Drosophila melanogaster: one gene and its partners. The protein of the gene in region 4 purifies or fractionates together with the protein of the main gene of each other region. This does not show direct contact. Each region holds a gene or a part of one and is shown on either strand. Other genes may lie near its edges.

What was found.
Region 1: the proteins of Gdh (region 4) and mAcon1 purify together in Drosophila melanogaster (affinity purification with mass spectrometry, with the first as the bait; one large-scale study listed by BioGRID). This does not show direct contact.
Region 2: the proteins of Gdh (region 4) and Mpcp1 purify together in Drosophila melanogaster (affinity purification with mass spectrometry, with the first as the bait; one large-scale study listed by BioGRID). This does not show direct contact.
Region 3: the proteins of Gdh (region 4) and up purify together in Drosophila melanogaster (affinity purification with mass spectrometry, with the first as the bait; one large-scale study listed by BioGRID). This does not show direct contact.

What each region holds. Positions count from the first base shown.
Region 1 is NT_033779.5:21,166,205-21,174,668, forward strand, and holds mAcon1 (mitochondrial aconitase 1), read left to right. Parts: upstream 1-2,365; 5' UTR 2,366-2,567; coding exon 2,568-2,600; intron 2,601-3,986; coding exon 3,987-5,624; intron 5,625-5,690; coding exon 5,691-6,194; intron 6,195-6,255; coding exon 6,256-6,444; 3' UTR 6,445-6,980; downstream 6,981-8,464. Other genes in the region: CG43346 (uncharacterized protein), read right to left, coding at 1-348; CG43345 (uncharacterized protein), read right to left, coding at 475-744, 799-2,010; CG31627 (uncharacterized protein), read left to right, coding at 7,084-7,638, 7,695-7,928.
Region 2 is NT_033778.4:20,278,132-20,283,879, forward strand, and holds Mpcp1 (mitochondrial phosphate carrier protein 1), read right to left. Parts: upstream 2,997-5,748; 5' UTR 2,857-2,996; intron 2,807-2,856; exon of another isoform or gene 2,713-2,806; intron 2,479-2,712; exon of another isoform or gene 2,459-2,478; intron 2,315-2,458; 5' UTR 2,297-2,314; coding exon 2,104-2,296; intron 2,035-2,103; coding exon 1,270-2,034; intron 1,204-1,269; coding exon 1,037-1,203; 3' UTR 935-1,036; downstream 1-934. Other genes in the region: CG9143 (uncharacterized protein), read right to left, coding at 1-691; CG16868 (uncharacterized protein), read right to left, coding at 4,019-5,748.
Region 3 is NC_004354.4:13,598,554-13,604,937, reverse strand, and holds the start of up (upheld), read left to right. Parts: upstream 1-2,359; 5' UTR 2,360-2,520; intron 2,521-2,572; exon of another isoform or gene 2,573-2,709; intron 2,710-3,283; exon of another isoform or gene 3,284-3,570; intron 3,571-4,820; 5' UTR 4,821-4,845; coding exon 4,846-4,868; intron 4,869-5,157; exon of another isoform or gene 5,158-5,477; coding exon of another isoform or gene 5,478-5,480; coding exon 5,481-5,522; coding exon of another isoform or gene 5,523-5,526; intron 5,527-6,384. UniProt on the Drosophila melanogaster protein: Troponin T is the tropomyosin-binding subunit of troponin, the thin filament regulatory complex which confers calcium-sensitivity to striated muscle actomyosin ATPase activity.
Region 4 is NT_033777.3:23,936,711-23,946,020, reverse strand, and holds the start of Gdh (glutamate dehydrogenase), read left to right. Parts: upstream 1-2,919; 5' UTR 2,920-3,009; coding exon 3,010-3,427; intron 3,428-7,250; exon of another isoform or gene 7,251-7,398; intron 7,399-7,465; coding exon 7,466-7,900; intron 7,901-7,969; coding exon 7,970-8,289; intron 8,290-8,393; coding exon 8,394-8,598; intron 8,599-9,001; coding exon 9,002-9,040; intron 9,041-9,310. Other genes in the region: CG12268 (uncharacterized protein), read left to right, coding at 610-1,004, 1,227-1,336, 1,406-1,856, 1,915-2,332.

The DNA of each region.
Region 1 (8,464 bases), on a different chromosome or scaffold from region 4:
CTTGCCCTTGGCGTATGTTGCTTCCAATTCGGCGGCGTTGCGTTTCTTCATGTCCATAATCTGAAGATTTTTCACCAGCTCTTCGCGGGTGGGCGGCTCCTCCCGGCGCCCTCGTAGCCACGCCTCCCATTCGGCAGTCAGCTCCTGGTCGAAGGCTTCCTTATCCGCTGGCTCGAACCACCGGGAAGGCTTCCTCTTTCCAATCGAAGGATTTGCAGGAATTTCGTAGTACTTATTCCCGAAATAGTCCTCCCCAATGTAATCCCCACGAAACTGCCGCGGTCGTAGGGACTTCCAAAAGTTCTTGAAGATGATGCCGATCACATCGCGCGTCGGCTTGTTAGCCATGCTTATTTTAACTTAAGAGCGAGGAACTTAAATTTATTTTAGAATTTGAGGTTAGGTCTTGCGTTTGTTATGACATGAACAGCTGGTGGCGGTGTTGCAAAATGCCGGCAGGTTTAAAAGCGTAATTCAAATTCGTAAAATTGGTTTCAGTGGCAATGCATAGGGACTAAACCAGTCCCGCAGAAAAATTGCCATTAAATCTGTACGGAGACTATTATTGTTGTATTCCATGTCCTGGAGTACTAATCCAATGCCAGCTGAGTAAGTAAAATGCTCTCCCGAAAAACTGGAGGTGCCTATAAAGGCAACCCTATCGGTGACTAAGTACGAGTTGCAGTTAACTCTACCGCCGGAAATCCTCTCCAGTTCATTTGTGGTGGGTACAACAAAACGTCGCTGCAAGAGCAAAGAAATTGTTAATAAAATTGCCAATACTTATAAGCTCATTACCATTTGTATATCTACTCCTTCCGTAATTTTGTCGAGCGCTTGAAGGGACCTCAAGAAGTGATCCTCGCTGGGATCCGAATACTTCCACCATGAAATAAGCACCTTAATGGCCACACCGCGTTCCAAGGCAGCTCTACGCAGGGCATTGTCTATGACCGGCCAGTACTCCAATTTGTTACTCCGTCTTAGCCGAGGAGAGTACTCCATTAAGGAGAGGTATATAACGTCTGTGGCCTTGTCGATAGCCTCTAAAATGGCATCTAGCTCTCGGGTCCTTCCAGTAGCGATCAACTCTGGTGGTGATGTGGATAAATAAGCTCTCATTGTATGTTTTTTGTTGATGTTTAGCAAAAGCGGTCTTCTTTGATTGATGTGCGTGTGGTATATCCACGGCCAGCTCTTTGGCACTTCATTGCTGCCCAGGTACCAATACGCCTTGAAGATCTTTCCCAGATCTAGAGCAAGATGGGGACAATTTCTGGCCAGCACACCTAGTTCCTTGCGTTGCGTCAGTGATCGCCAGTCCATGCTAGCTGTGCCCAAGTAGAAGTGCTCCCCGTCCACTAACCACAGTTTTGAGTGCAGAAAATTAATGCCCACGACGTCGGCTGCTCCGTAGTTAGCCAAGATACGGGCATCAGCATGCCACAGGCTATCGTGGCTGCGATTAACCACAATCCGCACGCGCAGCTTGGGTCTGCCGGCATCTCCATTCGACAGTAGCTGCTGAAAGAGTTGATCTCCAGGCCCGGTGCTGCTATCGTTGACGTCCAAGCCGCGCAGTGTCCAGTGCGGAGAAACGATGTCCAACGATGCCTTGGCCCTGCCTAGTAGTAGCTGCCAGGCATCAAAGGTGCTACTCAGTTGGGGGTGGCTTTGCCATTGGCTGTAGTTCAACCCCAAGGGCAAGCTCTCCACCAGTTCGAGTTGACATGGTAACGGCTTTTCCACCGGAACGGGGCTGTTTCCGTTTTCATTTCGATGGTAGGTCTCCCAAGGCAACAGAAGCACAATCATCACCAGAACGAAGAGTATAAGCACTGGTATGATGTAGCCGTGCTTGCAGGAACAGATATTTCGCTCATCCTGGAGCCCTAGGCCGCAATTGGGACGCCGGCAACACGATGTGGTCAAAGGGGTTGGCTCTTCCGGTGCTCTGGGCACTGGCTGGTACTCTCCGGGTATCTCATGCACTACGCGACGCTCGGACATGGCAAGGGGATCAGGACTAATGCTGACTGGCCATTGTCAAACATTTTTCACAGCCGAGCCTATTTATTATTCGCGCAGTTGTGGGAAAGTATCACCCGCCCACGCAAACAAATGGGCAGTGTTGGACAGCACAGCGCGGTAGTCGTCTGCGCTGGCTGCTAAAAAAAAGCTAAAGGATAAATTAATCCAAGTCCCTGCTCAGAAAAATAAGTTGTCGTCAGTGCATTATTTCAGCATTTACTTCGATTTAAGTTTTAACGCCATAGAGTCCATTAATTCTCTTGAAGTTAATAAATGTTTATCGCTTTAATTCAAAACTGATAAACTTTCTATGGTCCTATTTATTTAACGACCCAATTTTGGCGGGAAACAAGCCGGCGGAACATTGCTGACGCGTATGCGTGACGCCAGCTAACACTGGTCGCCGTGGTAAAGAATTTAGTCTGTCTTAAAATCTTCCGGCTGAGAGGGCTGAAAATTTTGACGGCTTCGAAGCATTTGCTGCAATATCAATTTCGTCGGGTTTATTTCGAGTATCGCTTAATCAGGACGCGACCATGGCTGCGAGATTGATGAACGCCCAGGCACAGGTAGGTTCTAGAGCGGAGCCTGTGCCTCCAGTCGGCCAATATATAACCACGGCTATATATACGTTTACGTATAGAATCTGTGAATGGAACCCCGAAATTCCAAGCTGCGATAAAGACAACTGGACAGAGCACTGCGCGAAAGTTTACAAAAAATCATTGCCCATTTCTTACACACCCAGCAGGATGTGGGCAGCGAAAAATAGCAAATTTTTCGCACAGCGTTTTCTAACCTAAAATCATAAAATTCGAAGTGGTTAGGTAACCGAGTTCGCAGTGTTTGTGATTCTACAGGCCCTGCATCCCAAACATGTATACTGAATACGCAGCAGTGAACCATGCGAAATCGTTAGCTCTCAACAATTAACAGCGATTCGTGGGGGTTCGATGGTTGGCATAGTTGCATTTACATAATCGCCGGGGTCCAGTTATTTAACCAGGAGGCGAACACCCTCTAGAGCATATATCTTGTGGCGGAGGACCGTCTTATCTGTGACAGGTTTACTTACACTTTGATAATGCCAGCACTAAATATAGCTTAAAAAAGTTGCGCCGTTTAACTTGAGTATCACGCGCATTGGAGGAGTTTTGCCTTTCAAGTGGGGTTTTTCCACGTCAGCTTCGAGAAAGGTTTCACTGTACTCTGCCCATAAGTTAACGACCTATTTGACGTAATTGTCATTGCAATTGTTTCGATTTGCGTGTATGTACATACAGTCGTGTCGTCACGTGGTTCTTCTAATTGGAGTGTTCTGTAGAATATTGTAACAATTTGAAAGGCTTACAAACAAACTATATTTCCAGCTACTTTTTATTTTTTTATTCTGCAGTTCGAAGAACCTTAAAGCACTTTGGCTAGCACTTAAAATACTTTGATTGTTAAATGTAAACTTTCAATCATTTTACTAATCTCAAAAAAATATTTGGAAAAATTTCACTCTGAAGCGGTAAATGGATCAATGGATTATTTTTGGCTATTCAAAAATTTCAAGACGATTAAAATTTATTAGCTTTAGCAATATATTGATCTTAAAACAAGTGAAAGCGGTGATAATAATGTTTTACATTTGTTATATATGTATGCAAGATTAAATGTACAGTAAAGAAGAATTTTCACAGATATGGTCCCCACATGATTGTACTCTTGTCAGAATATCTTTGGGAATTATCATTTCCTGATAGAGGAATCAATTTAATTAAAGTGACGAGGACTCGTCCTCTTGACATGATAATCAAGTGTTTATTGGGCTACCAAGCGAATAAATAAAATCTCACAGTGTGCGAAGTGCAAATAAACTAGAGAATCACATTGTGTTAATTACTTGATCTTGATTGCTAAATGTACCACTTCACCATATTTAACAGTTCGACTTCTTATCTGCTTTCCAGGTGTGTCGACTGGGCAAGCATGTTGCGTCCGAAGCCACAGTGGTGCGTCAGTTCCACGCCTCCTGCTACACCGCCTCCAAAGTGGCTCTGTCCAAGTTCGACTCGGACGTCTACCTGCCGTACGAGAAGCTGAACAAGCGCCTGGAAGTGGTGCGCGGTCGCTTGAACCGCCCACTGACTCTCTCCGAGAAGGTGCTGTACTCGCATCTGGACGATCCCGCAAACCAGGACATCGTGCGCGGTACTTCGTACCTGCGTCTTCGCCCCGATCGTGTGGCTATGCAGGATGCCACTGCACAGATGGCTCTGCTTCAGTTTATCTCCTCCGGACTGAAAAAGGTGGCTGTGCCCTCCACTGTTCACTGTGATCATTTAATCGAGGCCCAGATTGGTGGACCCAAGGATTTAGCCCGTGCCAAGGACCTGAACAAGGAAGTGTACGATTTCTTGGCCAGCACCTGTGCAAAGTACGGATTGGGCTTCTGGAAGCCAGGCAGCGGAATCATCCATCAGATCATTCTGGAGAACTACGCTTTCCCCGGCCTGCTGATGATTGGTACTGACTCACACACCCCCAACGGTGGTGGCTTGGGTGGCCTGTGCATTGGCGTTGGTGGTGCTGATGCCGTCGATGTGATGGCCGACATCCCCTGGGAGCTGAAGTGCCCCAAGGTGATTGGTGTCAATTTGACTGGCAAGATCAGCGGCTGGACCTCGCCCAAGGATGTTATCCTGAAGGTTGCCGATATCCTGACCGTCAAGGGAGGCACCGGTGCCATCATTGAGTATCACGGCAAGGGTGTTGACTCTATCTCTTGTACAGGCATGGCCACCATCTGCAACATGGGTGCTGAGATCGGAGCTACCACCTCTCTGTTCCCCTTCAACCAGCGCATGGCTGATTACCTGAAATCGACAGGCCGTGCTGGCATTGCCTCCGAAGCCCAGAAGTACCAGGCCAAGATTCTGTCCGCTGACAAGAACTGCGAGTACGATGAGCTGATTGAAATCAACCTAGACACCCTGGAGCCCCATGTTAACGGACCATTCACTCCCGATTTGGGCCATCCCATCAGCAAGCTAGGCGAGAACTCGAAGAAGAACGGGTACCCTATGGACATCCGTGTAGGTCTTATTGGCTCTTGCACCAACTCTTCGTATGAGGACATGGGTCGCTGCGCCAGCATCGCCAAGGATGCCATGAGCCATGGCCTCAAGTCGAAGATTCCTTTCAATGTGACTCCCGGATCAGAGCAGATCCGTGCCACCATCGAGCGCGACGGCATCTCTGAGGTGTTCGACAAGTTCGGCGGTACCGTTCTGGCCAACGCTTGCGGTCCCTGCATTGGACAGTGGGATCGTAAGGACGTTAAGAAGGGCGACAAGAACACCATTGTCACCTCCTACAACCGAAACTTTACTGGCAGGAACGACGCTAACCCGGCCACCCATTGCTTTGTCACTAGTCCCGAGTTGGTCACCGCTCTGTCCATCGCCGGTCGTCTGGACTTCAACCCGCTGACCGACGAGCTTACTGGTGCTGATGGCAAGAAGTTCAAGCTCAAGGCTCCCTTCGGCGACGAGCTGCCCGCCAAGGGTTTCGATCCCGGCCAGGACACCTACACTGCTCCCCCACCCGTAAGTACATTTAAATTCCCAAACTGATTTATATTGTTCTTAAGAATCAATATGGAAATCCCACAGAGCGGCGAAAATGTCAAGGTGGCTGTCGACCCCAAGTCGACGCGTCTGCAGCTGCTGGAGCCTTTTGACAAGTGGAACGGCCAGGATCTGACCGATCTGACTGTGCTGATCAAGGTTAAGGGAAAGTGCACCACTGACCACATCTCCGCTGCCGGACCCTGGCTGAAGTACCGTGGCCATTTGGACAACATCTCCAACAACATGTTTATCGGAGCCACCAACTACGAAAACAACGAGATGAACAACATCAAGAACCAACGCAACGGTAGCTGGGGAGGAGTTCCCGACGTAGCCCGCGACTACAAGGCCAACGGCATCAAGTGGGTGGCCGTCGGCGATGAGAACTACGGCGAGGGTTCGTCCCGCGAGCATGCCGCTTTGGAGCCCCGTCACCTTGGTGGTCGTGCCATTATCGTCAAGTCCTTCGCCCGTATCCACGAGACCAACCTGAAGAAACAGGGTCTTCTGCCTCTCACCTTCGCCAATCCCGCTGATTACGATAAGGTTTGCGACTCTTAGCTTCTGTGACTAAGGTCATATTAACCATATCTTTGTACTTCAACAGATCCAGCCCACGAGCAAAATCTCCCTGCTCAACCTGAAATCCCTTGCGCCTGGAAAGCCCGTAGATGCCGAAATCAAGAATGGCGACAAGGTCGAGAGGATCAAGCTTAACCACACCCTGAACGACCTACAGATCGGCTGGTTCAAGGCCGGCAGCGCTCTCAACCGCATGAAGGAGCTGGCCCAGTAAATGGTCCTGGACCTACTTAAGACACCCAGTCAAGAAGCCTGATCCCAACCTTCTTCCTGTAGGTGAACACACTCAAATTCACAACGGAAGCAATCGAATTATGGTATTGTTATTCAATTCTTTTCAAATTGTTTATATTATATTTTGACTATATCGAGTGTGCAGCTTTAAAAGTGAATTATGTAGCCGAACGATAGCGAGAAATTGTAAGAGTTTTATATATATAATTATACACAATTTTATTTTTAATTCTGGCTATGCATGCGTTTCCTTCAATTTTTGTTCTTTTTGAATTTGTCCAAATGCTCTACAGATTGCCTCTACTATGAAACTGTTTTAAGTGCGAATAAAACTCAAGTAATATGTATTAAACCGATTCTTTCATTTAATAAACAACAGTTAAAACAAAAAAGCGGACAATAAGTGCCGTCAATTCATCCCGTGTCCTCTATATTTTCTTCATTATTAACATAATTTTATCAATTATAAGACGTAAGACACAACAATTTGCACAATAAAGCATAATATCAATAATAGAATCTACTGGGGCAGATTACTTAATTATTCACCCATAGCTTTTGGAAAATATGTCGAATTGTCAATCAAATATAAATTATTAGTAAATCCAATTCTAGGACTATGAAACGCAGAGCTCAAAGTAAAACTTCCGTTGCTTCCAGCACGGATTTCTTTTCACTCTCCGACAAGCCATCGTTGGGAAGAAGACGAGCCCTACTGGCTGCAAAACTTAAGCGTCAGGAACAGAGTACAACGTCCTTTGACTCCAGCACAGGCTCCTACACTTATACAGACGCCACTTCTTTGCGAAAGACCCCCATCACCTTCTCACCTAGCCCGGAGTTCATGAAGACCGCCAAGGCTAAATTAAAGTTAATCGCATTGTATGAAGATCACAAATGCTTGTGGAATCAGCGCAACAAAGATTTCTTCAATTTCGAGCTCAAAGACAGAATCTGGGATGCGATTGCCGATGAAATGAAAGCGGACTCGCCATCTGGGTTTTGGAAACATATGATTCACAAGCTTCGCTATAAAGTTGAGATGGAGCGCATACAAGAGCAGGGTGCAAAGTTTTCGGGTGAATCGCCGCAGCCAAAACTATTTTATTCAGATAATCTGCTGTTTCTAAATCACATGTTTGACCGAGAAGGGGGAAAACCCCCTCGAGAGATTGTATGTTTATAGTTAACGAACAAATCACTTTAGTATTTATTCTACTTTTTACTCAGCCAATGCATCTTAAGCCTTCGGGACCTACTCTCGAAAAGAATCCGTCTAGAAACCTGCGACATGTTCAGGAAAAACGTAAACGTACGCCCATTAGAGAAAAGATGGCTTCGCTTGAGAAGTTGAGGAATCTCCAAAATAGCAAGTTTGTTCTCTCCCGCGACGCTTTTCAAAAAATTCAAAAAATTACTAGTGGCGGTCCCTATTACTTGACAAAAACAAAGATTAGACCATAGGCCTTGATTTGAATATCTCAAAATAAAAAAATGCAATGCAAACACATTTGAATCGATTTTTCGCTTTATTACATTTCTTGTATCATAATCGTTTTGTTTTTCTGGTTTTGCCATTTTTTAAATATTGACGTTTTATATAACAATTCATAATTTTAGCTTACAATATTTTTGTTTTGTATTCTTAGAATCGTTTATGCCTTTTGCCATGAAAACACTTCTCTCTCTAGCAAATATACAATTTTCGAAACTTGTGATTTTGCAATTATTTATTATGTATATTATATATATTATATGTATATAACTAAAAATGCGTAAATTAATTTTTTTTTGTTTGTTACGTGGTTTGTGGGCACATTCCTTTTATCAAAAGGAACAAAACATGAAAATGTACATAAGTGTTATTGGCAAATAGTTTACCATCTGTTTTAGATCTTGATACACATACGTGCATCATCGATATAAAGAACCTGAATTGTTTTTAAATTTCGAAGCGGCAGTTGCAGTTCTGTATTTGCGCCTCATGAATTGCTCGTTTA
Region 2 (5,748 bases), on a different chromosome or scaffold from region 4:
CGAGGGCACGCAAAATGGAAGCGGGAACACCCAGGCCGTTCCAGGCGGACATATCTTCGGCTTCGCCTGTGGAGATGGGCACTAATTCGGGTGCTTCTTCGTCGGTCGACTCCTGTTGGTCTGCCGAATCTTCCGCCTTGACCACTTCTTCTTCATCGTCCGATGGTGGTGGCCTGAGCAATGCGAAACGATCTGCCGCGTGCTCATCACTGGACTCCTCACTGTTGTCGTTTTCCTTGCCCTTCGATTTCTTCTGTTTCCGCAGCTCCTTTCGCTTTTCACGCTTCTCGCGCAGTTTCTGCATTTTTTGCGCATGACGCTCGGCCAGGCGGGCTTTTTTACTGGTCCTAGCAGCGACCGCCACTTCATCCTCGCTTTCGGATTCGCTGGAACTCTCGCTGGATTCCTCCTCGTCGCCCTTCGATACCTTCCTCTTTTTCTTCTTCAGCTTGCGCTCTCTGTCTGGATTCCGGGATGTGGTCCTCTTCTGCGAGGACTTCACCAGCGATGCATCGTAGTCCTTGAGGACCTCCAGGCCAATTAATCCCTCGAAGCCGCCACCATCGTCGGATATCACGTGGCCCTTGATTTTAACCTTCTGCCAGTTTTCCGCCTTCGAAAGTGCAGGCTCCTTGGCTGCGCCTTTTAGCAGCTTTGGTGGCTTCGCTGTTTTCTGTTTATTCTGAACCATAATTATCTATTTTAACTTAATAAAAGTGAAATAAAAATGCAGTTCAAAAAACCGCGTGTTGAATGCTGCTTCTTCTTCCCTCTGTTTGTTGACATTGGACGGGGCTGTTAAGCTCAGCTGTTCGGTATTGAACTAAAAGTGCTAAATTAGTGTTGGAAAATATGGAGGTGTGCACTCGAGCTTGGCGGTTATTTTAAATTGAAATTTTCTTTTACCCCTTGATACAAAGAGCGTTTAATTTTTGTGTGGTTTTTATTTACTGTGTGGTTTATCTATACAAATCAAGTTTAATTCGATTAACATTCTGCTCGCTCTAAATTTAAAAACAGTTAGCTTATATTTGGTTTACTGCTCGCCAGTCACGCCCAGCTTCTTCTTCAGGGACTCGGGCATTTCTGGTGGTGGTGGGCGTGGCATGCGCAGGAACACCTTGACGGCATCGTAGATGAACCACTGGGCGGCGGTCAATGTGCCGATCATCACGATCCTGGGCACCAAACCGCCCCACAATCCTGAATTGGAAAAAAGCGAATGTTTTAGATGAGGAACAGGAAATCCCATCAAATGTCAGCACTTACCAGACCAACCCAGCTGCTTGGCCACGTCCAGGGCGGAGGCACCCTTGGCCTGGTTCAGCTTGGACACCACTGTGTCCGCCGGATGCGAGACGATGGCGCAGAACACGCCGGCAATGTAACCGGCGGCGAAGGTCACCACCAACTGCTCACCCTTGGTGCAATCGGCACGTGGCTTGGGCACCACATACTTGTACAGCAGCTCCAGCGTCCGCTCGAAGCAGGCGAACTTCATCATGGTGTATGGGATCTGGCGCATCCACAATGGCACCAGGCCCTTGTAGAAGGCGGTCACGCCCTCCTGGGCGGTCATCTTGGGCAGAGCCTCGCGCAATGTCTTGGCGAATCCGGGCGTGGTCTGGATCTTGACCTTGGCCGCCTCCATGGGCGCCAGGGCGATATCGGCGAAGAACTCAGCGGATGCCGATGCAGCCAAATAGAGTCCGGTTCTGTAGAGGAATGCGTTCTCCTCGCCGATAGCATCGCCGTACACCTTCTTGAAGACCTCGTACAGGCCGAACTTGCACAGACCCTGCATCGAGTAGCCGATGAAGGTGGGTGCCCATCCCTTGGCCAATCCGCGGACGCCCTCCTCAGCCAAGCTGATGCGGAAGCCGGTGAACACGCTCTTGTACTTGGCCGGGTCCACCTGCAGGCGGCACTTGACCAAATCCAGGGGCACCACCATGGTGTGTGTGGAGCCGCACGAGATGATGCCGCCCAGGCCGCACAGCAGGAAGTAGTGGTTCGAGCCGAATTCGCAGGAGTCTGCAGAGGTATTAACAATACTTATATATCCAACTCATTGGTGATTCCAGGAGGACTTGTCCCACTTACCACCCTCGGCAACGGCAGCGGCAGCGATGTTGTGGTTTCGAGTCAGCTGGCGTGGAGCAACATCCTTGAGGGTGGGGGTCACCACCGCGGTGGATGTGGGGGCGGAAGTGGGCGTGGCTGACTGGCAGTTGACGCTAGTGAATGGCGACTTGAACGTTGAGTTCTGCGCGGCATCGAACAGGGACTTAAACATGATGCCTTAGAGAAGTGCCTTTGAAAACAGAGATCAAGGGTTTCGAATGGGTTTAAGGTTAAGGTCATGATGTAACAAACTAAATTGCAAGTGGTACCGCCTACACTAAATACATTTAATCTATTTTAATTGTTTTTACATCTATAAATTAATATTTCGTACTTTCTTTTGTCAAAAACGTTTGAGCACATAGAAGTTATGTTCTTTAATCCTGAAAGATTATACAATTATTTAAAAACTGTTTTTCTAGTATCATTATAATTTAAAAATTAATTAGCAATAGTAAATGATAAGCATTGGCAATAATATATTCAATCCGAAATCACTTCATCAAAAAACTTTTTTTATAAACTTTCTTTTTTTTATCAAGTTATATTGAAATTGAGAATGTATACTTGCATTATTTTTTACATAACTATTGTTTTTTCTCATTCGCCAAACACTTTTTATGCATTGCGTAATGTTCTCCCCAGAGTACGTATTGTATCACTTTGCGTATATTTCGAAAATGTTCGAAAACAGAACGGTTTTCAAAACACCGAGCAAACTTAAACACTCACTTCAAAGTGCGGGGTATCGAAGGAGGTGAAGTGCAGATAGGGATTAGATATAGTTGAAGTATAGAGTCGTTGTTGGGCTGAAATGTGGGGACCCAAAGCAACGTTCGTCGTGCGCCAGACCAGAAAACCAAATGCAGTGGCTGCAATGGTATAGTGAGAGCTAGCAGCTTCGGTTCAGGGTTGCCAGCCGAGTGCAAAGCCAACCGGTTGATAACGGTTTCGAAACGGTTGCGTATCGGGTAAGAACTTACACAGCAAATGCACAGCTAATCAGTATAAAGACACTTTCTTTTTGAAGATATTGAATATGTTGGCTATCTCAGCCTTATGACATCGGTTAATGACGGTTATGAAATGGTTGGGTATCGGGTAAAAACTTACACCAAAGATCCATAGCTAATTTTGCTCTAAAAGCCACCTGACAACCCCCGAATAGAGATTGTTATTTATAAATTGGCAATTCTTGGCCACCACAGCAAAAAAAGAGCCCATTGAGCAGCGTCTGGTTTGCTTATAAAATGTATAGGTGTAAAAATAATTTCATTAACGTACGACCAGCTGATCGGAGGACGAGCAATTGGCAGCCCAATCGATTCATCCGATCGCTCTGGATCAAGGTTAAGATCTTGTGGGTTTTTTTTGCAAAATTTAAACATTTTATTTGAAACGTACAATGCTATTATAGATGTGTATTACTAAAATCAGTAGTTAGTAACTCTGTAGTCTTAGGGGCTATTACAAAAAACGATATACGACATGGTATCTTACAATCAGACAAGTAAGTACATTTCTGTTGTTGGTGCTTATCAAATAAATGCTAAAAATATCGGAAGTATATAGCTGCACATAATATAGTAATACTTTTTGCAATAAATTACAGTAAAATACAATACAATACAAATACAATACATCGATCAAAAATGGCAGAAACAATGTCATCACTTAATAGTTGGTGTTCGTCTCGTCCACGGAGGCTCTAATAGATACAGATGGGCCAACAATGGAGGCCACCGCGAGCTCACAAAACACATTGCGGGTTTGGAATGCGGGCCCAGCATTCTGGACTGTCGGCAGTTGAACTGCCCATTTTGGAAACTTACATAACTAAATTGGCAAACAAGCGGACATCTTACGCTCTAAAACTTAACAACGCTATTGTGGACTACGATTCGGCAGTTTCCATGTGCCGGTGCACCGTCACTGGTGCCAGGATATAGTGTGGCCGGGTCTTATCCCCCTCGAGGGGCAACGTCGTCTGCCCGTAGACACTACCACCTGCTGGCGTTCCGCGACATGGCGAGGGCGTGGCCTGCACCTGCTTGTAGCGTTCCGTCTTTGAGGTCGGCTGATTGCTCAAGTAGGGATGCGTGTTTGGCTGCGAGGAGGACTGCTGTCGATTCGTGGGACTCGATATGGATGTGGATATGGACATGGTGTCCGACTTGCTGTGCCGCTTGTCGTGCAGCAGCAAAGGTTCCGCCAGCGTGAAGCACTGCTGATCGGAACTGTCCTCGTGCGGCGTCATTGTGCTGTAGCCATGATCCGACTCACCGTTGGGTGGCCGGCGATAGCTACTGCCGCTGGAAACGTGGTAGGGCGAAATATCCGCCGCGTGCATCAGCTGCCGCTGTGCAGATGCGTGGTCATAGCCGCCACCAAGAGGCGGCTCGTCATGCGCTTTGCAATCGTCAAAGTTGAACCTGGACAGCGGCAAGCCGTAATTCTCTTCCTGTACCGAATCCACATAGAAGTGCTCCTGCGTCTGCGCATCCAGATTGTGTCTGTAGCAGTAGATGGCAAAGCCAATCACCATGACAAGCACCACAATGGCTCCTCCTAGCGGACCAAATGCAGAGTAAGCGTGCTGCTCTCTCTGCGGATTGTGGGCGGCCAGCAGTTCCATCTCGTCCAGCTCACCGTAGGGTGTCAGCGAGGCAAGTACTCCGTTGAAGCAGCTCGCCTGGGACGAGCAGAAGGAGGTCGAAAAACTATTGCCGTCCACATCCAGCTGGCACCATTCGCAGCCCATCACTCCGAGGCATTCTCTTTGAGTGGAATACGTTTCGCATATGCCAGCAGAACCAGGACAATTCGGCAGAGTACTCAGCAGCTGTGTGGTCGGTGGAAGTGCAATGAAATGTTCACTTGGCGGTGGACAGTACGGAAATTGTCGCGTGTAGTTGGCAAAGTACATGAGGGACGATGGTGAGCTGCTGTCTCCCACCATTGGACACTCGCAAGGACACTCGCAGTCTGTTTGGTCCATTCGCTTGCAGTTGAGACACTCTCTGTCGATTGTGCTGCACGGGCAAAAGGCGCCGCCATCGCAGCTGGAGTTTAGTACGGCTGCGAATAGATTGCTACCACGGATCAGGGCAATCGCGTACTTGGTTCGCTCGCCGTGCACTACGTTGCCCAGGATGCTGGACAGAGATGTGTTGAAGGCGTAGTAACGCTGCAACGTGCGGTTTTGGTAGCTGGCACAGCCGAGTTTTCGTACCAATTGGCCGTGGTTCAACATATCGTTGGCCAAATACGATTCCTTGTGTGTGAGGTGCTCATGTGGACGTCGCTGGTTTTTCGTGAGTGTGGCGGGCTGCAACATGCTGGGGTGAGCCAACAAATATCCCTCGTGCTCGAACAGCAGACACTTTATATGCGGCAGCTGGCAGATCGGTGTGCCCTCCAGGATCAGGCGATAGTAGAAGGCATAAGGAACGTCCAGGGCTACCACTGCTACGGGTCTGTCCTGCTGGGCAGAGTGCAGCGCATGGGCCTTGCCTTCGAAGATGGTGTGCGCAATGGTGATTATGTATCCAGCTCCTCCGGCATCCAGATACGGAGCTGTGCTAACAATCTTTCCAGGCTGCGCTATTGCCTGTCGGAACCATG
Region 3 (6,384 bases), on a different chromosome or scaffold from region 4:
TAGCCACAGTTCCCCGTAAACATCGCCCCAGAAAGCTAACCTATAGATAGACATATAGAAGATATTTAAACAAATACATATACATACTTTAATATATATATATATATATATATATTTTTTATATCGGGCATCTTCGTGCATACGATCGGCACTAAAAACCGAAGGCTACAGACGAATAGCGCCCACACAAAACGTCCAAAAATAGAACAACAAAAATTCGAAACTGTGCTATTTGTTATTCCCTGATTTTCGAATATTCTGACTTGCCTTTCTAACATTCTGATATTCGGACATTCAGAAGATGATGCGAATTGAAATTTACTTGAATACGGCATACGGCATACCCGACTTTCCACCCACTTTCACGCCCACATATGTATATATCTGCACATGTCCGTACTTCTGGTCTACGGATCACTGAGCTATTTGGCCCGATGTTTGCAATAGGTTCGTAGTTGTTTATTGAACGGAGGATGTTATGTGAATCCAGCCAGATGGCAGGCAAAAATTGGAAGCAGCTAAAAAAGCGCTTACAGATGTCGTTTATATCTGGACAGAACACGCCCGTACCATTTCATGCACTAAATCCCAGATAACTCGAACTGCCCACCTGTGTCCCATTGCGATTCTGTAGTTTTGTGGTTTTTGGCAAGCCATGCATAATACCTAGACCCATACATATCACATACACATACATATCTAATTATCTATGCATACATATCTATCTATCTGCGTATCTGGTGTGTGCATTTTGCATTTCGCAGAGGTGCAGATACAAAAATGTTCTAAATTTAAGATACTTGGTAACCAAAAACGAAATCAAAACAAATGCCGAAACTTTGCGACTATATAGTAATTTTACTATTGGAGAATATTGTAATATATATAATTTTAAAATAATATTCATCGCATGTTTTTAATTTACACAGAAGTCTATTTATTTGAACAACTTGTTTATGCAAGGAATTAAGAGAAGTCTTAAATTAATTTTTCTATAATCATATATAATGTAATGTAATCATAATATAATGTAATGTAATCATATATAATGTAATCATGTATGTATAAAAATTTTTACCCAGATTTTGAGGAACTTTGAGATAGCCCAAATATTTTTTTTTGCAGTATTAATAATTTAAGAAGATACAAGTGCAAGCGAAAAACTAAAAATTTTTTTTTTTTTTTATATTCTTCTAGAATTTATATCTAATTTTATGAAAAATTTGGCAAAAAAAAAAACAACGGAAATCGATGTTGATGAAAGTACATTTTTAAAATATTGTAAGTTTTTGCTTTATTTTAATTTTATTAATACTAGAATACAGAAACAAAATTAAATACAGAACAAAATATGTTTCACTACCCTTACTTAATACAAATATTTCTTATGTGTTATGATGTTTATTAAACGATATGAAAAAATTAATTTTTTTGGCAAAATTTACATATAGGAAAAAGAGATTTTGTCAAATTCTTCAAATTGATTTTGTATGCTTCGAAAAAATAACCCAATAAAGAATGAATTAAATTCGATAGCTTAAAGTGCTGCAAGGCGCGTAAGTGTATCTGAAACTATTTGCCAAAAGTATCTGTTAGAAAGTAAAATAAAAAAAATAGCATAGAAAAAGGAGAGAAATAAAAAAAGAAAATCGGAACAATGACGAATAGATTCAAGTGTTAGACAAATGGCAATGCGATGGGGCCACCTAAGGCCGTTCGACGTCAGCAGTTCGATCGCGATATAGATATAGGTAAATAAATATATATATATATATATATATATATAGGGGGTGATCGGTGATCGCGGCGGACTGGGTTGGAGATTTTGTAGGGCGTGCACTCTGGGGTTCAAATGCTGCAACGATCCGCTGAGGAATCCAAACTATATGTGCTATATATCGGCACGAACATCTGTACGTATATATTATAGAGCAATATATGCAGGCCGACTTTTTAATGGCTGTGAAATTTATGCTCTACGATATTTGATTCCAAAAACAAATGTGTAAAATGCCGCCAACGCACCGAACGTCCGTATGCGCTATATACTTATTGTATGATCTAGTTATGTGCGTGCGCCATTATGGTCTAATGTATAGTATATACTAATATCGTATGCCTCATCTCGCTCTGGCCAAAATGGAAAATTGGAAAACTCGACGGCGGCTGTGTGCGTGTACAAGTTTATGTTTCAGCTGCAGCCCACCTGAAAAATTCACCCAAAACACATCGAACACAGCCAACACAGGCAGGCGCACCCACCACCACCCACTTGTTGCCACATCGGCCAGCGATATGTGGCATATAGCGCTGGCCTGCTCGCACACATGGCCAGCTATTGGCTATATAGAAAGGCGATCGGTGTGTGCGTGGAAATGGCTTTTCCGCGAACGCGACGAAAAATTCTTTAACATAACGTGTAGCAGCGCTTTTCATCGTCAGTTTGGTTAGTCGAACCGCAGCATTCGCTCCTACGACGTCAGCTGCTCGGACTTCAATTCAATTTGTTTTTCTCCCTAAGTAAGTTTTTTTTTTTCTGTTTCTGCTCTACTGCTGCTTCACATCTCCTTCAAATGCTGCATCACCAAAAAAATAAAAAGAAAATATAAAATAAACTTGTGTGCCTAAAAACGAAAAGAAAGTTATCGAAAACGAGAAAACCGAATCCTTTGCGAATAAACCACGAACCACGAACATCAACAAAAGAAAGTTACGAATTGGAAAATCCTAGTGTTATATAACATTTTATTTTTTTTTTTGAAATTTTTTTAAAGTGCAATCTACGAACAAATAGTGCGAATAAATGACTTGAAAGCCACCAAAAAAACGAACTCTGAAGCCAACTTTTTCAAAAAATTTTTTTTTTTTAAACTTTTTTTTTTTATTATGGCTAAAGGCTAAAAATAATTTGAAAAAATTCGCCCAGGCATTGGCGGCGCCAAAAACAATATTCAACGGCAACTACAACAACAGGATTAGCCGCAGCAGCAACAACAACAACAAAATCAAAAGCAACAACAATGCCAGACAGGAATCTATACATATAAATATACATATACATATATGTATATCTTTTTGCTTTCTGAAAGTGTTATATGATCTGAGAGGAAAAGTTCTCAAATTTTTTTCGACGAATTTTAAAAATAAATTCGATTCGTATGTGTGCGCGAGCGAGTGTGTTTTTACCTTGGCAAAATGTCCAAGATACACACACACACACACACAGAGAAACACACACACACAGATACGTAGAGTGAAAACTTTTTTCAATAGCTTTCCGCGCAGGCGCCGATCAGATATGTTAAAGATATAGTAGGCGAAAACGAGACGGAACTATAGCCACCCACACAAGATCGATGGCGAATAGAGATCTGGAGATTTTTGGAGGATATATATAGGACTATAAATGGAAACAGGGCACAGATAGATTGAATTAAAGAAAGGGAAATTTGTAGAGTAAATTCGATAAGGATATAATGACAGGATATAAAAACAGCATATGACAGTTTTATGTTGCTAGGCAGGAAGTAGCTAACACTTACTCAAACTTTGAACTTGAAAAGACAAAAAGTAAGATTCAAAACCATGTTTTTGAAACTAACATGTATGATCAGTAACATTTTTGTATATGTAAGTGTGAAAAGACGATAGACGTATATTTCTGATAGTCTGTCGGATGATATTTAGATCATTACCAGTTTCAATTGAAAAGTTTGTTCAATTTTTCCAGAACTTTTCTCAATACATTTCACATCATTTCCAAGCACTTGCCCCAAAACTGACCCAGTTTATCTAAGGCTAAAAATACAAGCTCAGCAATTGCACTTCCACGCAAAAGTGCAAAGATTATAGAAATAGAATATTCATAATCATAGAAATTTCAAATAGCATATTAAATATATAAATTCGTGGCATAATAACTGGCATAGATATATACAGGCGATCTATGAATGGCATTTGATTTGATTTTCTTTTCATTACACACAAGTACGCCCAAATATATATCAATACATATACATATATAAATTGAAAAGCTTCTTTAGATTTTCCGATTTAGTGCCAAGGTAAAAAAAAAAACGAAAATTTTCAAAAAAGGCTTTGTCCGAAGCTTTTTGATGTTTTCGGAAGCTTTCGGCTCTCGGGAAATTCAATACTGCCCCAAAGTCTATTTTTAATTGAGAAAAAATCGGAGGAAAATGAAAAAACACACATACATAGATTGGACTACGACTCTCTCCTTCGCACACACACAGTTATAGATTGTGGATATAGATAGCATGGGAAATTAAATAATTTTAGAGCAGAGCGTACGGAATTTATCGTTTATTTTTTTCTTCTTGAATTTGAAAGATTATGATGTGAGGACGAGACATTGTTGCCGGCTATAAAAAGACAGGTCGCCCTGCCTACATATACACAGCGGAATCGCATATACATATATATTATATACATATATATAGGGGGAAAGATCCGTCTAAATATAGAGTTATCGCAGGGCGATCAAAGGCTGCTTCAAGTACAGTGAAACCCTGAATAGAAAATAGACAAGGGGTTATCAAAAAGGGCAATCATTTGTTGACTTGTTTGCACACCTGTATTTCGCTGTTCTATTGTTGTTGCTGCTTTGGCTAAAAAAGGGGTTATATTTAATAAGCATTATTTTTAATATCAATTGAATTCAAAAAGAAATATAATAATGGAACACATTCACGTTTTTGGTGTCTTTCCTATTCTATTACAATGGCTTCCTAATTTAATCTTAAATATATGCATTTGAAGACTAAACTAAACTTTTTATTTTCTATATATTGTTATTGCAGGTTTTTTCAACCCTAAACCGTAGCCATGTCCGACGATGAAGAGTACACGTAAGTAGAACCCATGGAATATGTAGGACAAGATGCAAATATTAAGTATACGACGCGTATGACCGCGAACAAGATTTAAAAGTGTGTAAAGTAAACAGATAACTTAAGTAAAGTAGCAAAGTTGAAGAGAAGTATTCGATGGTCTCGTTTGAACCCTTGTTGTTATACGTACTAACTAATTCAACGATCAGATTTTTGTGGATTCTTGTAAGAGAACTTTTTGTAATCACATTTACCAGTGGCACCTATTTTGATCTGTACTCCTTTCTATCTATTTCCACGCATTGTCATCCCTGAACCCGAACCGAAAAACCGACCACGATCCCAAAAACCTCCACAACCACAACCCATGAATCTGTTCGAACAACCGCTAATGTTGTCGTTTCGTTTCTTTTGAAATCAACAACTAATAACAATCAACAACTATTCAACAACAACCACACGACAATTCAACAACAAATCAACAATATCACCTCTGCACCCGTGTGCCGTGTGTAACCCTGCACTTTCACTCCAAAATATATATATAAAAAAAAACACCTTATTCAAAAATCTTAAACCAAAAAATATAAAAAAAAACCAAAATTCGTTTAATTACGAACTCGAAAGCAGCTCCGAGGAGGAGGAGGTTGTCGAGGAAACCCGCGAGGAGACGTAAGTACATTTTTGTTGCCGATTTTTGTCGACATCTTTTGTTGGTTTTGGTGCAGCAGCCTAAAGAACTCGATTGGTGTTCACTTATGTCTATCTTTTTTTTTTTTTTGTTTTTGCCCTAACTATAACAAATTTTTTGATTTTTTTCGAAACCGAACCTTGCCCACCATTTTGTATTCCAAATTTTCTATATGTGTTGTATTTTGTCAATGTCTGCAATATAAAAAACCACCCTTTTTTTAAAATTGGTAGAAATATGTATTCCCCAAAAAAGATTTGAAAAAAAAAAAACACCCAGAAACCCGAAACCAACCCAACATTTTTGTTTTGTGTACTCGTCTGTAAATAATTTTATTTGTTTATTAATTTATCTTTAGTTTTTATTTTTTATTCTGTTTTGTGTACATTTTTGTTATTTCTTTTGGTTTTTGTTTTCAATGTGTTGTTGTGTGTCTATAAAAACCAAAATTGAATTTAGAATTAAAAGTATACGATCACAAAATCAATATCCGATAATTGTACAAAATTTACTAATGGAACCCGAGAGCAAACCCCACCCACCCACTGTTCACCCCACACCCACTCAAGCAGCGAGTTCATAGTTCATACCCCCTCCCGAAAAAAAAAACCTAGCGAAAAATTGGCAAATTGTGTATATAAAAGCTGTGTGTATCCCCACCACCACCACCCACCACATGTGTATGAAACTGTGTTCAAAATAATGGTAGTAGTAATTTTCTATAAAAATAGAACAAATATTGCGTATACGTAGCTCGGAAAAGTCATCGATTTTAATAAGATTGATACAAAATAGACAAAAATTGATTAATTTATTAATATTAATACCAATTTTATGTTAAAA
Region 4 (9,310 bases):
TCCGCTTATTTTAAAGTGTGATATGTGAGTCAGTCATAGATTGAGACACTCCATTTCAATTCAGCCACACGTCAATAAAGATCTTACAAAATGCGAAGCGATGAGTGTTTCAGTATTATGGCCTTGCCCACCGGCCGTTAGCCATAATTTCCACTTCAGACAGCCTGACAATTCCGAATCCGAATCCGAATCGCGACGCACTCGCACGTGAACTCAGATATAAATTCTATATAATTATACGCTATAACTGAACTAATACCCCGTTTGCCCTCCGGCAAAAAAGGGGAAAACCTCAAACGCAACTCCCGCAAATTACCAAATTATCGCACAGCTCAAAGACACTGAGATTCGGTGTTACGTGGAGTCCACAATGCAACCCACTCAAACACATCCACGGCGTTTATAAGTCAAGGTGATCATTATTGGTAGAAAAAATCCAAAAACTTACAATGACTCTTAATTGTTGGACGTTAAGCCGGCGCTGAAACCAGCGACATGGCCCATTACGCGATTCTAGCCAGTGGAACAGCAGGCCATTTGGATCCAAATTGCAATTCCAACGCCATGACACTTAACTAATGACCGACCGCCTCTTGTTTTCGCTTTCAGATCTTTGGCAAGCTGCTGGAGAAGAATCCCGGCATCGTGGACAAGGTGCGCGTGGTAAAGGGCGATCTGCTGGAGCCGGACCTTGGCCTGAGCGCCAATGACACCAACACACTCGCCTCCAACGTCGAGGTGGTCTTCCACTGTGCGGCCAATGTGCGCTTCGACCAGCCGCTGCGTCCCATGGTCATGATGAACGTGGTGGGCACCCTGAAGGTCCTCCGCCTCGCTGAGAAGATGAGCCAGCTGCAGGCTCTGGTCCACGTGTCCACCTCATACTGCCAGTGCAACGAGAGCGTTCTGGAGGAGCGAGCCTACCCGGCTCCACAGAACCCCTTCTCCATCATCGAAATGGTGGAGACGATGGACGACGAAGCTCTGGCGGAGATTACACCCAAGTAAGTGGTTGAAATTGCTCTTCCTGAGCCGCAGATATTATTGCTCTTATTATTCGCGTCCAATGAATTTTGAGCAGCACTTACTTTTAGTAAACAAACGCTTATAAAGATTTGGGCTATCTAAATACTGGCTGAAATATAATGAAGTGCCTATAGTTTCATGCTCCTTTACAGGCGTACCTTGGTGGCACCTAATAACCAGTTTCTTTGGCTTATTTTTAGATTACTAAACGGCTTGCCAAACACGTACGCTTACAGCAAGGCGCTGTCGGAAGATTTAATTTGCAGATACAACAATAAGCTGCCCATAATCATCACAAGGCCCTCGATCGGTGGGTATACCATAGTGTCTACTCTGTTTTTGTGCCTCCTGGCTAATTGCTTTATTAAATCCATTGCAGTGACGGCCGCCATTCACGAGCCATTGCCCGGCTGGATCGAGGGCGTCAATGGACCCACCGGCCTAATGATCGGCGCCGCCCGCGGAGTCATCCGATCGATGCACTGCAATCCGGACTACGCCTCCACGGTGATACCCGTAGACAAGGCCATTAACGGCATGATCCTGTGCGGCTATCAGCGCGGAAAGGCCAGCCAGGAGAAGGGTAACAAGCAGACGGGTGTTGAGTTCTGCAATCTGTGCATCTCCAGCAAGGCGCTGATGTCCTGGGGCGACAGCATCGAGACGGGTCGTCGATTCTTCTACGAAACGCCGCTCAGCTTTGCGCTCTGGTATCCGGGTGGATCCATCAAAAAGAACTACTACCACCACCTTTTCTGCGTCATCTTCTTCCACTATCTGCCCGCATACTTCATCGACTTTTGGCTGCTCGTCTTTGGCCAAAAGCCATTGTAAGTAAACGGTTAAATTTTAAGTTCTCCTATTAACACATGGATTATTCCCATCCAGCTTACTCAATGTCCAACGCAAAGTGTCCATGGGTCTGAAGCTGCTGCAGTACTACACAACGAAAAGGTGGGAGTTCCGAAACGAGCGCTTCCAGGAGATGAGCAGTCAGCTGAGCCTCCTGGATCAGGACCTCTTCGACACGTCGGTGGGTCAGGTCAATTGGGAGACATACATCAGTAACTACATTGTGGGCATGCGCACCTATATACTGGGCGAGAGCGAGGACACTCTGCCGCAGGCCAGGAAGGTCCTGCGACGGCTGTATATCCTCGACTGGGTCAGCAAAGTGCTGTTTTTCTCCCTGAGCTTCTGGTTCCTGTGGACCCATTTGGATGGCTTCGTGGAACGGAGCGATGCCTTCATCCGATCCTCGCTCAGCACCATTTACCATGAGCGAAACAGCACCATACATGTATAAACTCTTCTTTAATTATGTACTTCAAATATAGTCCACAAGATTTTGTTTCTTTTTAAGTAAGCTAGCTGTGTTTTATTTCTATTTTAACTAAGGATTAAAACTCAAAACAGTCACATAGGAATTGTGTGAAAGATCAATAGCATGATAAGCCCGAAAGTTACGTGGTAAATTCCTGAAAGTATGAGCTCTAAATAAAAAATTTAGCAAAACCTTTAAAAAAACACCTTATATAAAATATACCTTGTATATATCGTTTGTATTGTACTGTACGATGTTTATTACTTAGATTTTCAAGTGCTTTCTAAAAGAAACTCAGTACCCCCCTGAATTCAACATATAGCCGAAGATGATAAATCATAGCTTAATCTTGGAGTCAAAGAAAAACGTGAACGTGAAACCGATAACAAATACCTAATCTCGCCCTGGCAACGAAGCGAGTAATCCGCCGGCGGTGGTGCCGCGTTTCTAGCGGGCACTCCACCCACAGAGCTTTTCGGTGAAAAGTTTGCACCGCTCTCGCCGGAGAGCAAAAAGCTCGGCGCTCCGAAAAAGCCGACATATATATACATATCTATGCGAGTGCCTCGGCCAGTTTGGTGCGGCGTCGAGTAGCGAGCGGTTGTGTAGAACAGAATAAAAAAAGAGTTGGAACCCGAAGAATCCAAGCGATTAGCAGCATGTATCACCTGAAGAGTCTGGCCCGCCAGGGCGCCCGCCGCCAGCAGGAGCTGGCCACGCTGGCCAAGGCACTGCCCACCGCTGTGATGCAGTCGAGCCGCGGCTATGCCACCGAGCACCAGATTCCCGACCGCCTCAAGGATGTGCCCACCGCCAAGGATCCGCGCTTCTTCGACATGGTCGAGTATTTCTTCCATCGCGGCTGCCAAATCGCCGAGGAATCGCTGGTGGACGACATGAAGGGCAAGCTGACCCGCGACGAGAAGAAGCAGAAGGTGAAGGGCATCCTCATGCTGATGCAGCCCTGCGACCACATCATCGAGATCGCCTTCCCCCTGCGCCGCGATGCCGGCAACTACGAGATGATCACCGGCTACCGCGCCCAGCACAGCACCCACAAGACGCCCACCAAGGGAGGCAAGTGTTGATCCAAGATAACCCAAGATATAATAGTCAGAACTCTGCACGTAGGTAGTAAAAAATGAGACGTTAAGAGGTTTTCAAAAGGGATGCAAACAAAAGTGCCAAACCTATAGAGACCACTAGATGATTCAGTTTTCCTTGAAAATCTAAAACAAAAAATGCAATTACCTAGCAAGTTTAAAGCAAAAATTTGTCAACACTTACTTAAGTTTTAAGAAACCCTCAGAACAGCTGTTGTCGCTCGATGCAAAATCGATTTTTCCTTAGGCATTTCTGGCATTTCGTCTTGATTTTTCAAGTTATGTAACCCAGTATATAAGCCACACCAGACCAGACCCCCTTTTCCCCACGTTCTGCGCATGTACCGCTGCCGCCTGTTTTGTTTACGTTTTAGCCGACTGGGCTCCCCCTTTCTCCACATTTTTTTTTTTTTTTTTTTTGTTATTTGAGGGTTTTTAGGCCGCATTGCATAAGGCTCGGACGTTGGGCACACGTGTTTGCATTAGATTTCCAAACCCTTCAAGTGTGCCACCATTCAAAAACAGATGTACATATGCTGAATGTACTGCCCGCTTTTCGCACATTTCATTATTTTCGAGCTGGCAAATGTATTTCGATTCTTTCGCTGCTGTTTGTTTTTCCTTTGGCTGGGTGCTATTTATAATGAACTTTTGCTTGTGTTTTGCTTTCTAATTGAAATGAGAGCACAGCACTGCACAGTGTGTCAAGTGCTAAAAAAAAAGTAACGCCCCTAACCACCAAAAAAAAAAAGAAAAAATCTCCTTGTTGTCAGGCCACAAAAATTGTTTGTTCCGAATTCTGTTCCTTTTTTTTTTGCTTCATCTCAAATTATTAATTATAGAATCAGTTTGGTGCTTATCAAAAGCAAAAAAAAAAGAACACAAAAAATATGTAGTGAAAAATATTCGACTAGGGAATCTTATCTGACCTTGGTTATGCGCAAAAATAGAAAACAGAAACAGCCGAAAAAACGCTATGCCCCTAAAATTTGTTGTTTACGATTATTGCCACGCTTCTTAACACTTTATGATCTTGTTTTCGATCCATAGATCGATCGATCGATCATGTGGCTTAGTTAGTTGGGTCACCAAAAGTTGTAAACAGCCTGTTACTAAGTGAATTGAATCCACCTTATGGCTCGTTAATGATTCACTCAAATAGCCAGCTCTCTGCTATTTCAGTCAAAGGTGCTAAAAATTGCTAGTCTATTTATTTACTTAGTACTACTAGATCAATGGACAGTGTTTAATGGCCACCATTTTGTGCGCTCCATGCTCTAATTAATGTTAATTCCCGCTGATGCATCTGCCATTTGGCTGTTAATTATTTAATACGTTCTGCGTATGTACATACATCAAGTCCCCGGTCTCGAATTTCGGCAAAAGTGCCCCTTTAAAAAAAAAACAGCCGGCTCATGAATTTCGTTTCGTTTGGTTCCCTGTCCAAATGTCGAGTTGTGTGTGCCTCTAAAGAACTGGTTTTAATTTGCCCGGGGTGTCTGTCCGTTCGGCTTTGTTCACGTGATAGTCACGTTGTGCCAAAAAAAAAAGAATTGAACAAAAACTGCGAGTTTATGATATATGCGTCATACGCTTCACCACTGTGCTGGTTTTCTTTAATTTTTTTTTTTTCAACAAATGGGGGTCCATTCAAAACCGATTTGATCTGGCCTACGACTGTGGAACTTTCTACACATGTCGATGAACCGATCTAAATTGTCTAGTCAATTGAGTGGTCTGCTTTGCATTTACTCAACCACAAGTACAAGTGATGCATTCAAACTCGAATCGAACGCGACAAAATAAAAAACTGATAATGTAAAGCGGCCCTATCGCCAATGTATTATTTATACATATTTATTATACACATGTGGCGACAAATGTACACACATTAGTTCAAGTAAATAGCGTTGCCCACAAGTACTTGGCAGTTATCTTATTGACAAACATGTTTCCATTCTATTTGCTACCCGTCGAGAGTTGCACTCGAAAAATGCGTATGCAAATCGTGTTAATTGTGTTACACTCAAGTTGATTCCCCGATACTTACCTCGCCCTGGAAAAAAAACAAACAAACCTGTACCCATTATCTAGTTCACAGCTAAATAGTTGATCACGATGGTATCGACATCGAAATGGCATGTTTCTTAGCACTCAACTTCGCTGGGGGTGCGTCCATATCTGCGTCACTTCCGTTCTTATCCCCCCAATCTTATCGAGCATTGAGATCTCAAGGCCCCCACTGACAAAAAGATTTCGGAGAAGTTTTTGCACTCGGCGGCATTCTAATCATATGGCGTAGAATTCTGGTCAGCTGACTTGGTGAGGCAACCGGTTTGGTCTATTCGAAAAACAAAAAGATCGTCGCCTGTTGCCAATGGGGAATATATACATATGGGCATACTTATAGACGTGGCTATATGGCACACACACACACAGCCACACGATCGAGCCCCCAAATGTGTTATCGCACCACCGATTGTATAAGCAGCAGCATGCCCAACTAGACTATATAGGCAGCTATCTTTGGAACCTTAATAGATTCATTCTTTCTGTATTGTTTTTCGAAAAATTTTTGGCAAAAAACGAAAACAAGTCGACTGATCAAGCCGGTTGGTGCTGTTACTCTGGCATTTCGTCTGCTGTTTTTTTTTGTTTGTTTCTTATGGTAAACATAAGCGAAAAGAAAGGCGAAGAATGGGGCTTCGCCAAATAGAGAATGATTCGCTGTCGTCAAGCGCGGTGGGTACAGTCAGCACCATTCTCAGCTGGACTTGGGATTCGATTCGATATGAGGGCTTAGCTCACTCAGCGGAAAGGCAAAGCGAAGACGCCAAATGGCTGTAAAAAAAAGGCTCTGCAAACTCAAAAACCACTCATTATAAACTGAAAGTCTGGCTTTAAATTAATAAATGCTACGTGAATACAATCTTCCCAACACCAGCTCACTAATCTTAAAGTTTATTATTAAAAAGCACAGATTATGTGCTCCTTAAGATTAAAGATTCAGTAACAGCACGGAAGAACCTATTTTTAGGTTGTTTACAAGCATACCGGATCATAATTCACTTCAGTCGCGACAGGATAGTGTACTTTAAAATCAGACTGGCCCTTGAAAAACAATGATACACAAATAAGTTCCAATCGGTACATAATGAATTGTAATTTTTTGAAATTGTGTACTCATCGTTTTATTTGTTTATAAGTTCCAGTTGCCGGGCCCCAAAAAAATGCTACACAGCTGATAATGTCAAGAACTTATTTCGAGTGCCAAAAGCAAATTCAGAGATTGTTTTTTGTGTGGAGAAACCAAAAATTTGCTTGATTCATGGTCACTATCGACCGGCCACTTGGCAACAAGGCATTTAATTTAATCGCAAAAATTAAGCTAATTTTGGATTTTATAGTCTTGTTTTTTGGGGGCTCGTCCCGGGGTTCTAATGGGGAAGTCATTAATTTACCTAGTTCTACATACAAATTTACGTATGTATAAAGGCCATTTGGTGGAACTTGCTCTTGCCAATAAAGCAGCATTTATATTTATCGATCCATAAAAAGCGGGCACTTTGCACTTTTAAGTTCTTACAATTAAAACACCCTTGTTAAATTCGAATTACAAGCACGAAATTTTGGCTTATCTAATCGCGCCGACTTCCCAAAGATATAAACATTATATGTGCCAAGCAAATAAAGATAAGAGCCAAGGAGGGGTTTTATGGTTTCTGTTCATGGGATTGTTGCGCCATCGGCGAAAGGTTTCCCCACGTCTGCCAGATGCAATGATTTTGTTTTTAGGGCACGTGCTTTAGTAAAACAGCCAAGAAATGTTCGGTTGTATCATCGATTCGAGGAGAACTTTTGCTTTCCGCGAGGAATTCGTGTAGTTTGTCGTCTATTTTTGTATTTGTCTGTTGGATTTAGACCAAAAATGAAAGCTGCAACAAGGTCGCCGAAAGTTCTGAGCACACCTGTCGTATACGTAATGTGCTTATGCAATTCTTTTCCCTTGCAGGCATCCGTTTCTCGTTGGATGTGTCACGCGATGAGGTCAAAGCCCTGTCCGCCCTGATGACCTTCAAGTGCGCCTGCGTGGATGTGCCATTCGGCGGAGCCAAGGCCGGTCTGAAGATCAACCCTAAGGAGTACTCCGAGCACGAGCTGGAGAAGATCACCCGTCGCTTCACCCTTGAGTTGGCCAAGAAGGGCTTCATTGGACCCGGTGTCGATGTGCCCGCCCCCGACATGGGAACCGGTGAGCGCGAGATGTCCTGGATTGCCGATACTTATGCCAAGACCATCGGTCACCTGGACATCAATGCTCATGCCTGTGTCACCGGCAAGCCCATCAACCAGGGCGGTATCCACGGACGCGTCTCGGCCACCGGTCGCGGTGTCTTCCACGGCCTGGAGAACTTCATCAACGAGGCCAACTACATGAGCCAGATCGGTGAGTGTTGCATCATGATTGTCTAGTTATGAAAGTGCATCATCCTAATGGTAATATCTACATTCTTAGGCACCACTCCCGGCTGGGGCGGCAAGACCTTCATCGTCCAGGGCTTCGGTAACGTGGGCCTGCACACCACTCGCTATCTGACCCGCGCCGGAGCCACCTGCATCGGTGTCATTGAGCACGACGGCACTCTGTACAACCCGGAGGGCATTGACCCTAAGCTGCTGGAGGACTACAAGAACGAGCACGGCACCATTGTGGGCTACCAGAACGCCAAGCCCTACGAGGGCGAGAACCTCATGTTCGAGAAGTGCGACATCTTCATTCCCGCTGCCGTCGAGAAGGTCATCACCAGCGAGAATGCCAACCGCATTCAAGCTAAGGTAAAGTCTTAATTGAATATAACAAAAGAATCTTGTAAAAATGGGAATATATTCCCGTTTCAAAATGGTTAATATATATTTTAAATAATTTTCATCAATTTTAGATCATTGCCGAGGCTGCCAACGGCCCCACCACCCCCGCTGCCGACAAGATCCTCATCGATCGCAACATCCTGGTCATTCCCGATCTGTACATCAACGCCGGTGGTGTCACCGTCTCCTTCTTCGAGTGGCTGAAGAACCTGAACCACGTCTCGTACGGTCGCCTGACCTTCAAGTATGAGCGCGAGTCCAACTACCATCTGCTTGGTAAGTTTATCACACTATTATTATGCAAAACAATAGGCTCTTGAAGGCACTTGCTCCTCATCTCGTTATCTATCAATCTATCTATCTATCTGAATAAGTATACTTTGGCCCATTGATCATGCCATCTCATTGATTGGTTTATGGATTTAGTTATGCTATTTATTTTAGAAAACACAAAACCTATTAGAAAAGCGCTTGCTCTTTCGGCATTTGCTCTTCCCATATTGGTTCAGTACTTCCAAATTTCGTTTCTCGTCAATTTACTTTCGATTTATTATCCACCTACACCTGAAAATCAAACCATAACCAAGAGACTCTAAGATCGTTATATAATTTTGAAGTATCATCTAAGTAATTCGTTGTTTATTCTTCTTCTTTTTCCGTTTCTCTATCAACAATGTAGCCTCAGTCCAACAGTCAATTGAAAGAATCATTAATGACGGTACATTCTGATTATTAATTCTTTTCGTTACCACCTATCCATCCTTAAGCCCAAAAAACTTTTTCTACCTCATGTTTACCTTTTTTGTAGTTAGTTTTGTTCTGTAACGTTTATTTTGTGCATTTATTACTTGTTGCTTTATCCAAAAAAAAAAAAACACAATATCATAATCAGACTAATACCAGGAACCATCCAATCCTATGCTTTAATTCGGTATCTAATTATTTGGTGGCTTAAAAAACCCTGTCATATATGTATATGTGGTCCCTT